3 linked regions of the Bombyx mori genome follow. The protein of the gene in region 3 purifies or fractionates together with the protein of the main gene of each other region. This does not show direct contact. Links are inferred from orthologs where the notes say so. Each region holds a gene or a part of one and is shown on either strand. Other genes may lie near its edges.

Evidence for each region.
Region 1: the proteins of GATA zinc finger domain-containing protein 1 (region 3) and PHD finger protein 12 purify together in Homo sapiens (affinity purification with mass spectrometry; 7 studies listed by BioGRID and IntAct, with this or other methods). This does not show direct contact. The link is inferred for Bombyx mori from reciprocal best matches to the Homo sapiens genes GATAD1 and PHF12.
Region 2: the proteins of GATA zinc finger domain-containing protein 1 (region 3) and mrg purify together in Homo sapiens (affinity purification with mass spectrometry; 7 studies listed by BioGRID and IntAct, counting the BioPlex papers as one, with this or other methods). This does not show direct contact. The link is inferred for Bombyx mori from reciprocal best matches to the Homo sapiens genes GATAD1 and MORF4L1.

The regions. Positions count from the first base shown.
Region 1 is NC_085122.1:14,111,542-14,115,194, forward strand, and holds part of PHD finger protein 12, read right to left. Parts: intron 2,374-3,653; coding exon 2,240-2,373; intron 1,511-2,239; coding exon 1,392-1,510; intron 1,266-1,391; coding exon 1,111-1,265; intron 907-1,110; coding exon 554-906; intron 468-553; coding exon 261-467; intron 1-260.
Region 2 is NC_085127.1:11,194,309-11,198,637, forward strand, and holds the start of mrg (mortality factor 4-like), read left to right. Parts: upstream 1-1,496; 5' UTR 1,497-1,523; coding exon 1,524-1,551; intron 1,552-1,667; coding exon 1,668-1,785; intron 1,786-2,410; coding exon 2,411-2,523; intron 2,524-3,075; coding exon 3,076-3,171; intron 3,172-4,019; coding exon 4,020-4,110; intron 4,111-4,140; exon of another isoform or gene 4,141-4,329. UniProt on the Homo sapiens protein: Component of the NuA4 histone acetyltransferase (HAT) complex which is involved in transcriptional activation of select genes principally by acetylation of nucleosomal histones H4 and H2A.
Region 3 is NC_085134.1:2,611,142-2,615,297, reverse strand, and holds GATA zinc finger domain-containing protein 1, read right to left. Parts: upstream 2,655-4,156; 5' UTR 2,118-2,654; coding exon 1,728-2,117; intron 1,490-1,727; coding exon 1,303-1,489; intron 806-1,302; coding exon 639-805; 3' UTR 588-638; downstream 1-587. UniProt on the Homo sapiens protein: Component of some chromatin complex recruited to chromatin sites methylated 'Lys-4' of histone H3 (H3K4me), with a preference for trimethylated form (H3K4me3).

The sequences.
Region 1 (3,653 bases), on a different chromosome or scaffold from region 3:
CTTACGACCCGCCTCGTGTTAAAGGGTTACCGGAGCTCATCAACAACATAATGCCACCTTCCTCGAGATATAAGATCTAAGGCCTCAATTTTTACAGTACAACAGTTGCCCCACCCTTCAAACCAAAACGTATTACTACTTCGTGGCAGACACGGGTAGGGTGGTGGGATCTGCCCGTGCAGGCTATTGCATATTGGTTTTGTGCTGAAGTTCACTACTTGCGCGTGGACTTAACCGGTATCCGTGTCTCCTCACGTTACCTGTCCATAGAGTTGATAGCACAGAGTGTGGCCCGCACGCACGCGTCGGACAGGGCGCGCGCACGCGGCGGCGGCGGGGAGGGGGTGGCGCGGGGGGCGGCGCGGGGCGGCGGGCGGGGGGCGGGCGCGGCGCCCCACACGCTGCGGGCGATGCGCTCGCGGTCCGCCCGGGACAGCAGCTCCGACGGCAGCGACACGTGACGGAACCTGCCGGGGACGTGCTCGCTGTCATCACGCACGGGCGGCGGCGCACCGGTACAAAACAAACTTGTTAAATAGTGAGTGGGTCTCACCCGTGCGCGGCGAGCGCGCCCCGCGTGAGGTGCCTGGCCAGCGCGCGCGCCACGGCCCGGGAGAGCGGCACGTCGCGCCACCAGCCCGCGCACGCCTCGCCCGCCAGCACCTGCTGCAGCCGCTGCCAGGCGAGCAGCTTCACGAGTCTCTCGTCGAGCTTCTTGAGCTGCTCGTCGACGAGCGCCAGCAGCTGCTCCACGTGCTCGTCGGCGCGCAGCTGCACGCGGTCGGCGCGGGCTCGCCGGCCGAACCCCTTGTCCTCGGCGCCGGTGGCCTTCCGTCTCTTCACTGACGCCGTGTAGTACTCCAGGTCCGAGTCCGAGTAGTCCGACGAGCCCGGGCTCGCACTCGCCTGGGGCGGGACAGTGAATGTAATTAGACAATTAGATTATTTATTTTGCACTCTTTCGTTGGAACGAACAAAGTACTTTCGTTAATGTCGTCGTTCCGCCGGCCGGCTGCGACACCAGCGCCGGTGTGAATTAGCTCTACCAATTTAGTATAGTCATAGTGGAAATGATAGAAGTCTCCGAGTGCGGCGAGGTTGCGTGAGTACCTGCGCGGGGCGGGGCGCGGGGGAGTGCGGCGCGGCGGCGGGGCAGGGGGCGGCGCCGCTGTAGGACGGGCACTCCATGTTCATACAGATGGTGTGCTTCCGACACTCTTCGCCCTCACTCTCCAGTACACTCGATAATCCCAGATTCTTTAACACTGAAAAAATATTTTTCCATTGTCAGTTTATCTCCACCGGGACCAGCGAGCCATTTTGCATTCCTTTTTTAAGTTATAGTTCGTTATATATATAGTCATATATCGTTTATTTTATGGTCCACTCACCGTTCCGACAGCGCACGTGCTCCCTCCGCGCCGGCAGCAGGGGGGCGGGGCGCCGGTAGTGGCTGCGGACCATGGGCGGCACGCGCACGCGCCCGCGGACGTGGGCCGGGATCTTTATTCTAATCAACAACAACTGCTTATTGGTATCGTGCCTCTACTAGCTGGACGTGTGCCGCGCTACGACTCGGCTCTACTGTCCCGGCCGGAACCAACAGAATGTAAAAAATAATAATTCAATTGTTAGTTTGAAGTCGTCGTGGCCTAAAAGATAAGGCGTCCGGCGCATTTGTATCTAGCGATGCACCGGTGTTCGAATCCCGCGGGGTCTACCAATTTTTTCCATGGTGAAGTGTAGGTACATTGTGTAATAAAAATCAAACACGCAAAATTATAATTTACGTAATTGCTGATTGTAGAACCTCTTGTGAGTCCGCGCGGGTAGGTACCACCACCCCGCCTATTTCTGCCGTGAAGCAGTAATGCGGTTCGGATTGAAGGGTGGGACAGCCGTTGTACTATACTGTAAAACTGAGACTTTAGGACTCATGTCTCAAGGTGGGTGGCGGCATTTACGCTGTGGATGTCTATGGACTCCGAAATCCACTTAACACCTAGTGGCTCGTCCACACATTTAAGTAATAAAAATAAAATAAAAATAGTTCGAGTTGCTAATTATATGCGTTTTCAAAATTTTTAAACTATATATTATATTTTTATTACCATAAAGTTTCTTATCCGATAATATAGAATTCGACAGCGAAATTGCTGATCTTATGAGCCCTTCGCACTGGGGGCTTCTCGGGGCCGGATCAGAGAAGTGGGAGCCGGGGTCCGGAGCGGGCCCTCACCTGAACCTGGGGTTGGGGTTCCTCGCGCGGCGCAGGAAGTCTATCTTGATGGCGTGCTGGTCCACGGGCCCCGCGAACCGGTCCCACAGCGCCACCCGCTCCGTCGCCGAGATGGAGTTCACCAGCTTCCAGTCCTGGACACAAGCAGTACGCGCACTGAGCCACCGCGACACCAGCTCTTATTTCAAGATATTCAATTTCAATTCAATTTTTATTACAACGTAATTGTCGAGTGTCAAAATCTCTATCTCACCGACTGGCCCTCAGTGGCGTAGCTACCAAGGGGCTAGGCGGGGCAGTGCCCCGGGGCCCTCGAGCTCAGGGGGCCCTCGAATCCTTACCAGAAATCTCGATCGAACTGAACTTTTGGAAATTTCTCCATTTCCAAAATAAAGATGACAGGTTGCAACCCCACTTTAATCATGACAACTCCGTTGAGAGAAATTCAAAAGTTATGCCTAAGGAGTTCCCCTAACTTCTTTTTGTAGGTTGGCAGTGTTGTCAATTTAACGGATGTGCGTTTTATTATTCATAGATATGCGTTTTATTGTGAATTCGAGTTAAGATTTTTTTCGACAACGGTTAAAAAATTAATGCTGTATCAGGAGTAAGTAAGCTAATGTCAATAAACTTTTTTGTACTGGTCAATTTAGTGGTTCAATTTTATTTGATTTTACCACTCATATTGATGTCCGTTAAGTCAATAAATCGTGTCAAATCTATAGATTTGGGCTACAGCGCATTGTAATAGGTTGGGGGAAAAGTTTCATCGCATTTTTTAAGAAAATTCACAATATTTTTTAATATAGTTGTTTACATTTAACTAAAGTATGTAGGTACCATTTTGTTCGATAACTTTTTGCCATCTTGTAGGTAAGGACATGCCCCATTGCTATAGAAATTTTGGGGCTTGTGATCAAAATACCGCGACAATTGGTTTTGGCAGTCCTCTCGTGATGTTAACCTGACACTGCCTAAAGAATTCTGACGAGACCGAAACAGGTGGAAATCTGAAGGTGCAAGGTCAAGACTATACGGCGGATGCATTAACAACTCCCAGCCAAGCTCTCTTAATTTTTGCTGAGTGGCTAAAGATGTGTGAGGTCTAGCGTTATCATGATGAAAAACCACACCCCTTCTGTTGATTAATTCCAGCCGCTTTCTCTCAACTTCTTGCTTTAATCTCATCAGTTGTTCGCAGTAGAGTTCAGAATCGATGGTCCTGCCTGGTGGTAACAGTTCCTAATGAATAGTGCCCTTCCAATCCTACCATACACACAGCATCACCTTGTTGCGAGTTAACCCGTGTTTCGCCACAGTCTTCGAAGCCTGACCGGCCTTTGACCACGACCTTTCTCGCACGTTGTTGTCGTACGTGATCCACTTTTCATCACCAGTTATCAGCTTCTTCAAA
Region 2 (4,329 bases), on a different chromosome or scaffold from region 3:
TAAACTACAAAAAATGGAAGATTTTGCAACGAATATAAAACTTATATTGAGTGTCGAAAGATTTTCCCAGTTTTTTCCCGATTCGCCTGTCAATCCCTAATCGCCCCATTTTACCGGTACCGTTTTTATTGAGGGGTTGGAATGTCGTCCCTTTGCCGAGAGTGACGCTTAAACGTTTGACCTTCGAGGCCCATTGTATGGGCTGGCCAAAGAGAGTGATCGGGCGAACGCGGAGGTGTTAACGCGCTTATTAGGGAATGGGCTGCTCGAAGTGGTATTCGGAGGGCGACTCCTTTTGAAGAGCACCGCTGTGTTGTTCGTGGGGTTGATGTCAATGCGCTACTTCCAGAACTACTATTCAACAGTGGCTACTGTGATCTGGAATTGCCGATGCAATAGCCACTTCTTCCTACACGAGTAGTAGATAGCCGTGTCATTTGCGAAAAGCGCTAGATGGGTCTCCGCAGACCGGGGTATATCATTGATATACAAACTACATAATAACGGGGAGAGCGCGGAGCCTTGTGGGACTCTGGCCGTCAGATGACGGGGGCGAGAGTGAGCTCCCTCTACTCAATATCGAAACGAACAATTCAACAAGTCTCGTATGATGAGCACGAGTCTGTAGTCCCATGTTATACAGTTTGTATATGAAACCGCTAATTTTTGTTGAAGTGAAAACAACGCAAAAAAAATGTGATGACAGTATACTATGCTGCGTTCCGTTTTAAATAGTAACCAATATATCTAACTATGAAGGAACAGCTTCGCTATATTGACATCCGACTTTACAGTACTCGCAGTGCAAGCTAGAACATAACCGAAGGGTGGTAGTTTATGGCGCTGTTTTTTAAATCTTTCCACTTGCTTCTATGGCGCCAGCTTAATTATATTCCTTTCAGCAGACACTTTTTATTATACTGAGATGGTACTTCTTAGTTCTACCCTCCATATGTGTAGCAAAGACTAGATAAAACTTTAATATAATGCTGCGTAATACAAATACAGAGAACACACATAGACAAATTGAATAGTTCCAGAATTTCAATTAATGATCGGAACATAGCCTTCACTGCCATCTAGTACATTTCAGTTTGTTTAAAACTGCTGTGTTCATATCATTTGCACTTTCTATACTAGCGATATTTCGGTGAGTCTTCGAACAATATCTTACCGTTTAGAGGTGGAGACTTTTTCAACTTGTCCTCTATACAAAATGATATTCCTTAGTTCTATCCTCCATGGCTACACAGCTACCTAAGGCAAAACTGACTAGTTAACAAGGATGCCCATTTTCGCCCTAAATTTATATAGCTTAATATGTATAAAGCAGGTTAAAATATAATTCTATAGTTAATTATTATTGTAAATTAACTTTATTTTCATTTTATGTGTAACACAGGAAACATTTGGCAGTATGGTCTTTTACCTTCGCCTTTCCTCTTTTGTAAAAATTAAACGACTCAAGTCACAAGTCAGTCAGCCATTTGTAAACTGTAAACAAATAATCACATTATGTAGCAATGGCACCAAAGTTAAAATTTGCTGAAGGTAAATTATTTTTAGTACACTATTCAGTATAAATGTTTAGAATCAATTAATTTATTTGAAAATATTTATCGGTTTATTTACCGTAATTTATTTCAATGCAAATTCCTTAATTTCAGGTGAAAAAGTGCTATGTTTCCACGGACCGCTAATTTATGAAGCAAAATGTTTAAAAAGCTCAGTTACAAAGGACAAACACGTGAGGTATCTTATTCATTACGCGGGATGGAACAAAAAGTAAGTCATTTGGATGTCAGATTTGACGAAAATTAAGACAAGTAATGTAAACGAAATTTGTTGAACGGTGACCGATTGAATCACGAAGACTTGAAAGGATTCAATAGTAATTAGTATCTACCATTAAAGTATGTACTATTATTTTATAAAAACCTGCAAGCTATACATTATAATTCATACAATAAAGCTTAAGTTAAGAAATTTAGTGATATTCACAGTATTTTATTTTGCTGTTCAAAATTATAATCATATAGCACCACACCAAAAATTTTATTGGTTAATGTTAAACTGTTAAACAATAATATATTATAACATTGATCAATAATAACACAAGAACACATGAAGTTCAAAACTACACAAGATTAAAAACTCACCGACTTAAAAACAAATTAAAGGATTGCATCAAAATATTTTAACAATAAAATTAAAAGTATTTTATAGAAATCTAACTTAATAGTCTTAATACTTATAATAAAATTACAGTGGACTGAATCCATACCACTAAAATTATTAGTAGATTAATAAACATTAAATTTAAACCAAATTTATTTAGCTGTATGATATGAAAAACTACTGAAAAGAGAAATACAAATTGTATATTATAAATGTCTTAATGTTATTTCAGTTGGGATGAATGGGTGCCTGAAAGCCGTGTTCTGAAGTACAATGAAGCAAATGTACAAAGGCAGAAAGAAGTCCAAAGAGCTCATTCCGCACAACCAACTAAAACTAAGAAAAGTTAGTAATTTACACCGTTTTCTAAGTTACATTTAAAAATATTTGGAACCATGGAAATATTTGGTTTTATAATTAAAAGAAATAATACCATTAAACACTGGATTGTCTCTTGCAATTCTAGAGGGTGGTGCAAGTATAAGGATTAAAAATCAGTTGATTTGTACATATTTTATGAATTTGAAAAATACTTTAAATTTTTATATATAGGAAAACAAATCAGATTTAGAATCTGTATGAACTAGTATAAGATATTGTTGTTACTTTGATTTATTTAAATTAACATTTTCTTAGTTTTGCGAGTTTGACAGTAAAGTAGACATGATAAGAAAAAGTCTGTTCTTATTTTTATTAGTTCATCCTGGCATTTTATGTACTGTCTATACTTTTATAGTTTTTGTGATAGTTACAAATGTAAAAATATGACAACAGGTGATTTATAGTTTTAATGGGTATTACTTCTTGATTTTGCAATAGATTCTTGAAAATTAAATAAACCAATATGATCATTCTGTACAACAGTCTAAAAATCTGCAATATTAAATACAATTGCAGCTCCCGCAAAGGGTAGGAAATCTGATGCAGCAGTTGCTGCAACTACTCCAGCTAGAGAAGAATCAAGAGCATCTACCCCTGCGAGTAGTACTCAAGGTATTTTTGTTATCATTAACAGAAGCTTGCTAAGGTTATTAGATTTGGAAGCCTAAAAATTCAAGATGAATAAGAAGTCGATAGCTATAGTATTATGGTGTTTTTATTGATGTATCAAAGCTATGGACACCAGGAACCTAATGCTTTCCAATTAGTGTTTTTTTTTTTTTTATTTGTGGATGAAAGTCAGCAAAAGGTAACTTAAAAAAATTAGCAATTCTAAAGTATGTTACTTCTGTTTAGCAAATTATTAAAGTGTGTCAGTTTTGTCTCGCCTTAGTTTTTGTTTAAAATAAAATTGGATCTAATCACAACGAGGAGAAGCTGGGATGGATTTTGAAGGATTCCTTTTACTCACATTAAAATTTTCTCTGGAATGGCCTGCTTATTTCGAACCATATGTTTTGACAAACAAAGCGATGTTCACACTGTTTCACTTTATTGTTATTATTATTATATTTTATTATTTAATTATGAACTTAAGAACATGTGTTGGGTAACAAAGCAGTTCACTGTGTGTGTGTCTTTATACAACCCGCACTTAGAAATCCTTTTATTAAAAGAAGAACAGATATCCTCACTAATACAGTTACGAAGCAGCTTGTTGCTGATTTAAAGGATAGGACAGCTGTCATAAGAATGCAATTCAGTTCTCGACCCACTAAAAAGATGTATTCCAACAGGTAGTTGGTTTATTAACGCAAATAAAAAAAAAAAAAAATTATAATGACAAAACAAGTAGGTATTTAGGAAAATGAGTTCCCATTGTAAATATAGTTGGCATTCAGTGTGAGATCCAATTTAAATTTTATCTCTCATTAAAACTCATGTTAATGTTTTCTTTTCAGTAAAAGAGTCCGATAGTACACCAGCTCCCGCAAAAACAACTAAAACTCAGAGTAAAGATACACCTGCTGATTCTGGATCTGATCAACCTAAGTATGTCTGTCCGTATGTTTAACACACACTCACACGCATATTGCAATCTTTTGGAACCTACTCATGTTCCTACACAGGTTCACCTACTTAAGTTCATGCTTATATATAAAAGTTGATAATTATATATGTGTACCGCTTTAACATTCCATACAATTTTGGGGTTCAAAAATAGTCGTCTAATAATGGAAATGGTAGCAATATACCCATTGAATTTCTCGC
Region 3 (4,156 bases):
AAAAAATGTTGGTTGGTTTGAATGATTAAAGTGAATGATGTGTGTTATTGAATGATTGATAACTGTCCACTTCGATAAAGCGGCACGACACGAGAACCCTCTCATCGTGGCCGCTGGTAACTACATTCCCGATCCTGCGGACAGAATGGAAAGCAGTCGACGTCGCCCAAAACACGTCATCTCGGATCCTCCTGATCCACTAACGGTGCTTTTAGGTACTTAAAGCACCGGTCACCGTTCTCGTCGAACCCGTCGCTTGCGACGAAGGGCTCGACGAGTAAATTAACTCTCAGACACAGCCCACTGAGTTTCTCGCCGGATCTTCTCAGTGGGTCGCGTTTCCGATCCGGTGGTAGATTCTGCGAAGCACGGCTCTTGCTAGGGTTCGTGTTAGCAACATCGTCAGGTTTGAGCCCCGTGAGCTCACCTACTAAAGTTAGGGTTACGCTGACAGCCGCTAGGGCTATCAGCTTAGGTAGGGAAAAAAAAAAAAAAAATTATAACTGTGAATGATATCGAAATTCAAATTGTGCTCTAAATTTAAATAAATGTTAACTACGGGGTATATGGGGTAATAAAACTAAACATAAACAGTATTTTTTTGTAACAAAATGTTCACTTTGCTTAAATATAAAAGTCTACGTTCTCTCTTTAGCTTCCATCGAAGTCCATACAAAACCAGTATAATTATTCAGTTCATTATCAGTCAGTGGGTATGGACTGTTGCTCGCTTTGTAGTAATCAGATGGAGCATGCATCACAAATTCCATGTATTCCAGTTTCCGAGGCAGCTCTTCTTCAGGGCCTGAAAATTTACAGCAATATTAACCTTAACTGTCACATTTTTTATATACACTATTCTTTTTTTTGCTATATGGCAGTTGAGTTTTCGTGATGCTATTGTTGCCAGTATTGAGTTAGTAAAAATCATATTTACAAAATAAAAATAAAAAATTAAGCTGAATTTAATTAAGTTGGTTTATTTCATTATATTCATTATATTGGGATGAAATTACATGATATAGATTGAAACAAGACGAGAGGAAGTGAAATCAAACAATGCAGGCTTTTTAGAAATGCCGTGTCAAGCGACTTATTTCGTTTTCTGCTATTCACGAGCTTTGATCGAATACACATTTAATGAGTCACTATTATTACAAGTGGAAAATCTAAAGCACTAAATTTACAAAATGAAAAAAATCACCCAAAATGCCTTAGATATTGAATAAATACTTTAATCACCTACTTCTGCCTGTTGCAAATATCTGTATTTCTAATTAAAATATTATTAAAAGCTCATACCAATGATATATGTAGCAGGATCAAAACATTTCTCTGGAGGTGGGCTCGCTTTTGTAGGTAATAACCAAGTAACAGCTGCACTCTTCTCACAGTACTCATCAGTTAGGAAGCCTCTAATTTGGGCATAGTATGTGCCACCATCAATGTCAGTCATCGAAACAATATCACCAACTTGCATGTACATACCCTGAAAAAATTACCACAGACTATTCAAAGCAGAACCGAGGTAATTTTTCAAGTTTTCATGTTTACTGTGAATAATAAGTTAGGGTTTTTTAAATTAAATTAATCTCTAATCAGTTTTTAAACTATAATTAGTATGCGATATAGCCTCAAGATTATTGAAAAATAAAAAAAAAGGTATATTTCTACAGCTGTTGTATATCTAACTACAGATTTTAATTGGATTAAATAATTGAACAGACCTGATAAAATACTGAATCACTTGTAACAACAGTCGCTGTAGCTGTTGGTGCTTTCAATGGCTGCCTTTTGAATAGACTCCTGCGTCCTCTGCCCCGCGGCGCCGGCTGCTTCAATGGCGGTGGAGCAGGTGTTTTAGGTTTGTATCTCGTTGATCTAGTGCTTTTCCTAGTGCCCTTGCCGGTAGCTTTAGCCGGCGTAGACTCCTCATTTTTACCATTATCTTTGTCTTCCTTAATGTCTTCACAATCGGTTTTAATACTGCTGTCCAATTTTGATTCCTTCGGTGTCACCGTTGAAAAGTGGCAATCATTACAGATTTGTCCGTTTTCTGCGCTTCGCCATAACATAGAATCGTTGGTTCCGCATTGACTGCAAATCGGTTTTGGCATTATGTTTGTATTTTTTCAATTTAAATAGATAAATATTCTAAAATAAACAAATCGTCGCGTTCAAATCCAAAACCAAAACAAAGTCTGTCTATCTATCTATCGCCTGTTCACTCTGTTCAATGTTCATCAAAACATAGCTGACAGTTGACACTCGCTTAAGTCATGGTTCTGTTGCTCCGCTGATTCTAAAGTTTTTATCGATAGACGCATGATGTCTTCACAAAATAAATTTATATGAAAGCGAGCAAACAAAAATGATTCAATCTATCAATTTAATCTCAATTTTCTGATCTTTTCAGTTTTAAAACTAATTTGTTTGCGTCTAACTGGAAATTTACTAGTGTTTAAAATTACTGCTAGATGGCGCTGTCTACAAAATTGTCTAAATCGTTGCAAACATGTCTGATACCTAGTTAGGTAGGTAGGTAATATTACATTTCGTAGTTTTTGTAGCTTCACTCAAATATAGTCTCAAAGAATGCGCTCACCATTATATTTTATTTAAACAAAATTTGTTGTGTGAGGCCTTCCCTGTCTACATGTAATGAGAGATTAAAAAAGAATCGATTGGAATTTTACAAATTTTTATGCAACTTGTACTCGTTTATTTTAGAAACAAAGAAAGCTGTACAAGTATTAATGCAACTATAATCCCTATTTTCCATTATTCTTTTCTCTAGCACCAATTTATGGCATACTTCATTTTAACTAATTACCAGAGACAATATATTTACGCTGTCGTTTTTTTTTATTGCTTAAGTGAGTGGACGAGCTCACGGCCCAGTTGGTGTTAAGTGGTTAGCGGAGCCCATAAACATCTACAACATAAATGCCGCAACCTACACTGAGATATCAATTCTAAGGTCCCAGTTTTTACAGTACAACGGCTGCCCCACCCTTCAAACTGTAACACATTACTGCTTCACGGGAGAAATAGGCAGGATGGTGGTACCTACCCGTGCGGACTCATTACCACCACTATCAACCATGACACGTGAGACAGAAAGCTAGGTTGTATTCTTTATCGGCTGTTTATCCTTCAAATAAAAAATAAAAAAAAGGCACATTGACAGCTTCAAGGCCCTAATACGCCATCAGGTCAGATATTCAAATTCAATTTTAAAATATTTCTAATAAATTAGCTGTAAGTTATATACACAGTTTTCGCCGACTCCTTTTTGTATAATATATAAAACATTTCCACTTACATGCAAAAACCTACAACAATATAAATCTTTGAACATAGCAAATGCTCAGATAAAAGCATTTAATCATTTTGATGGCACCGATTTGCATAGAAACCGTTTTGCTGTGAATTACGACGGATCTGATTGCACAATATGGCGGTTAGCGATACTGGTGTGAAAATTTATTGTCTGTGCTCAACTATTAGCCCGTAGATTGCCTACCGAGCTGGCAATAATTTTTCATTGTCACTAAAGCTTAATTGAGGTAAAGTTACCACATATTTTACTAGTTTTATCTAATATTTTGGCACTTAGCACAACTGGTGGTAGGACCTGTTGTGAGTCCGCGCGGGTAGGTACCACCGCCCTGCCTATTTCTGCCGTGAAGCAGTAATGCGTTTCGGTTCGAAGGGTAGGGTAGCCGTTGTAACTATACTGACCTTACAACTTATATCTCAAGGTGGGTGGCGCATTTACGTTGTAGATGTCTATGGGCTCCAGTAACCACTTAACATCAGGTGGGCTGTGAGCTCGTCCATCCAACTAATCAATAAAAAAAAATAAGAATACAGAAGAATATGTACTGTTTTCTGTTCATCCGTCTGTTATGTAGCAGCGGTTATAATTGCCCACACAAAAAAATCTATAACCTTCTCTTATTATTAGGCGAACATACATTACGTACCGGTTAAAATTTTGTGTGAAGCCAATTATAAGTTTGCGAAGTGACATTTGGTTGGAAGTACGAATGTAAAAGTAGCTTTTGAAACGTTAACGATGGAACTTTTAGCGAAGTCGCCTATAACTTTTAACGAGACAAATCCTTTACGTAGTTATTTTACTTTAAAGTTT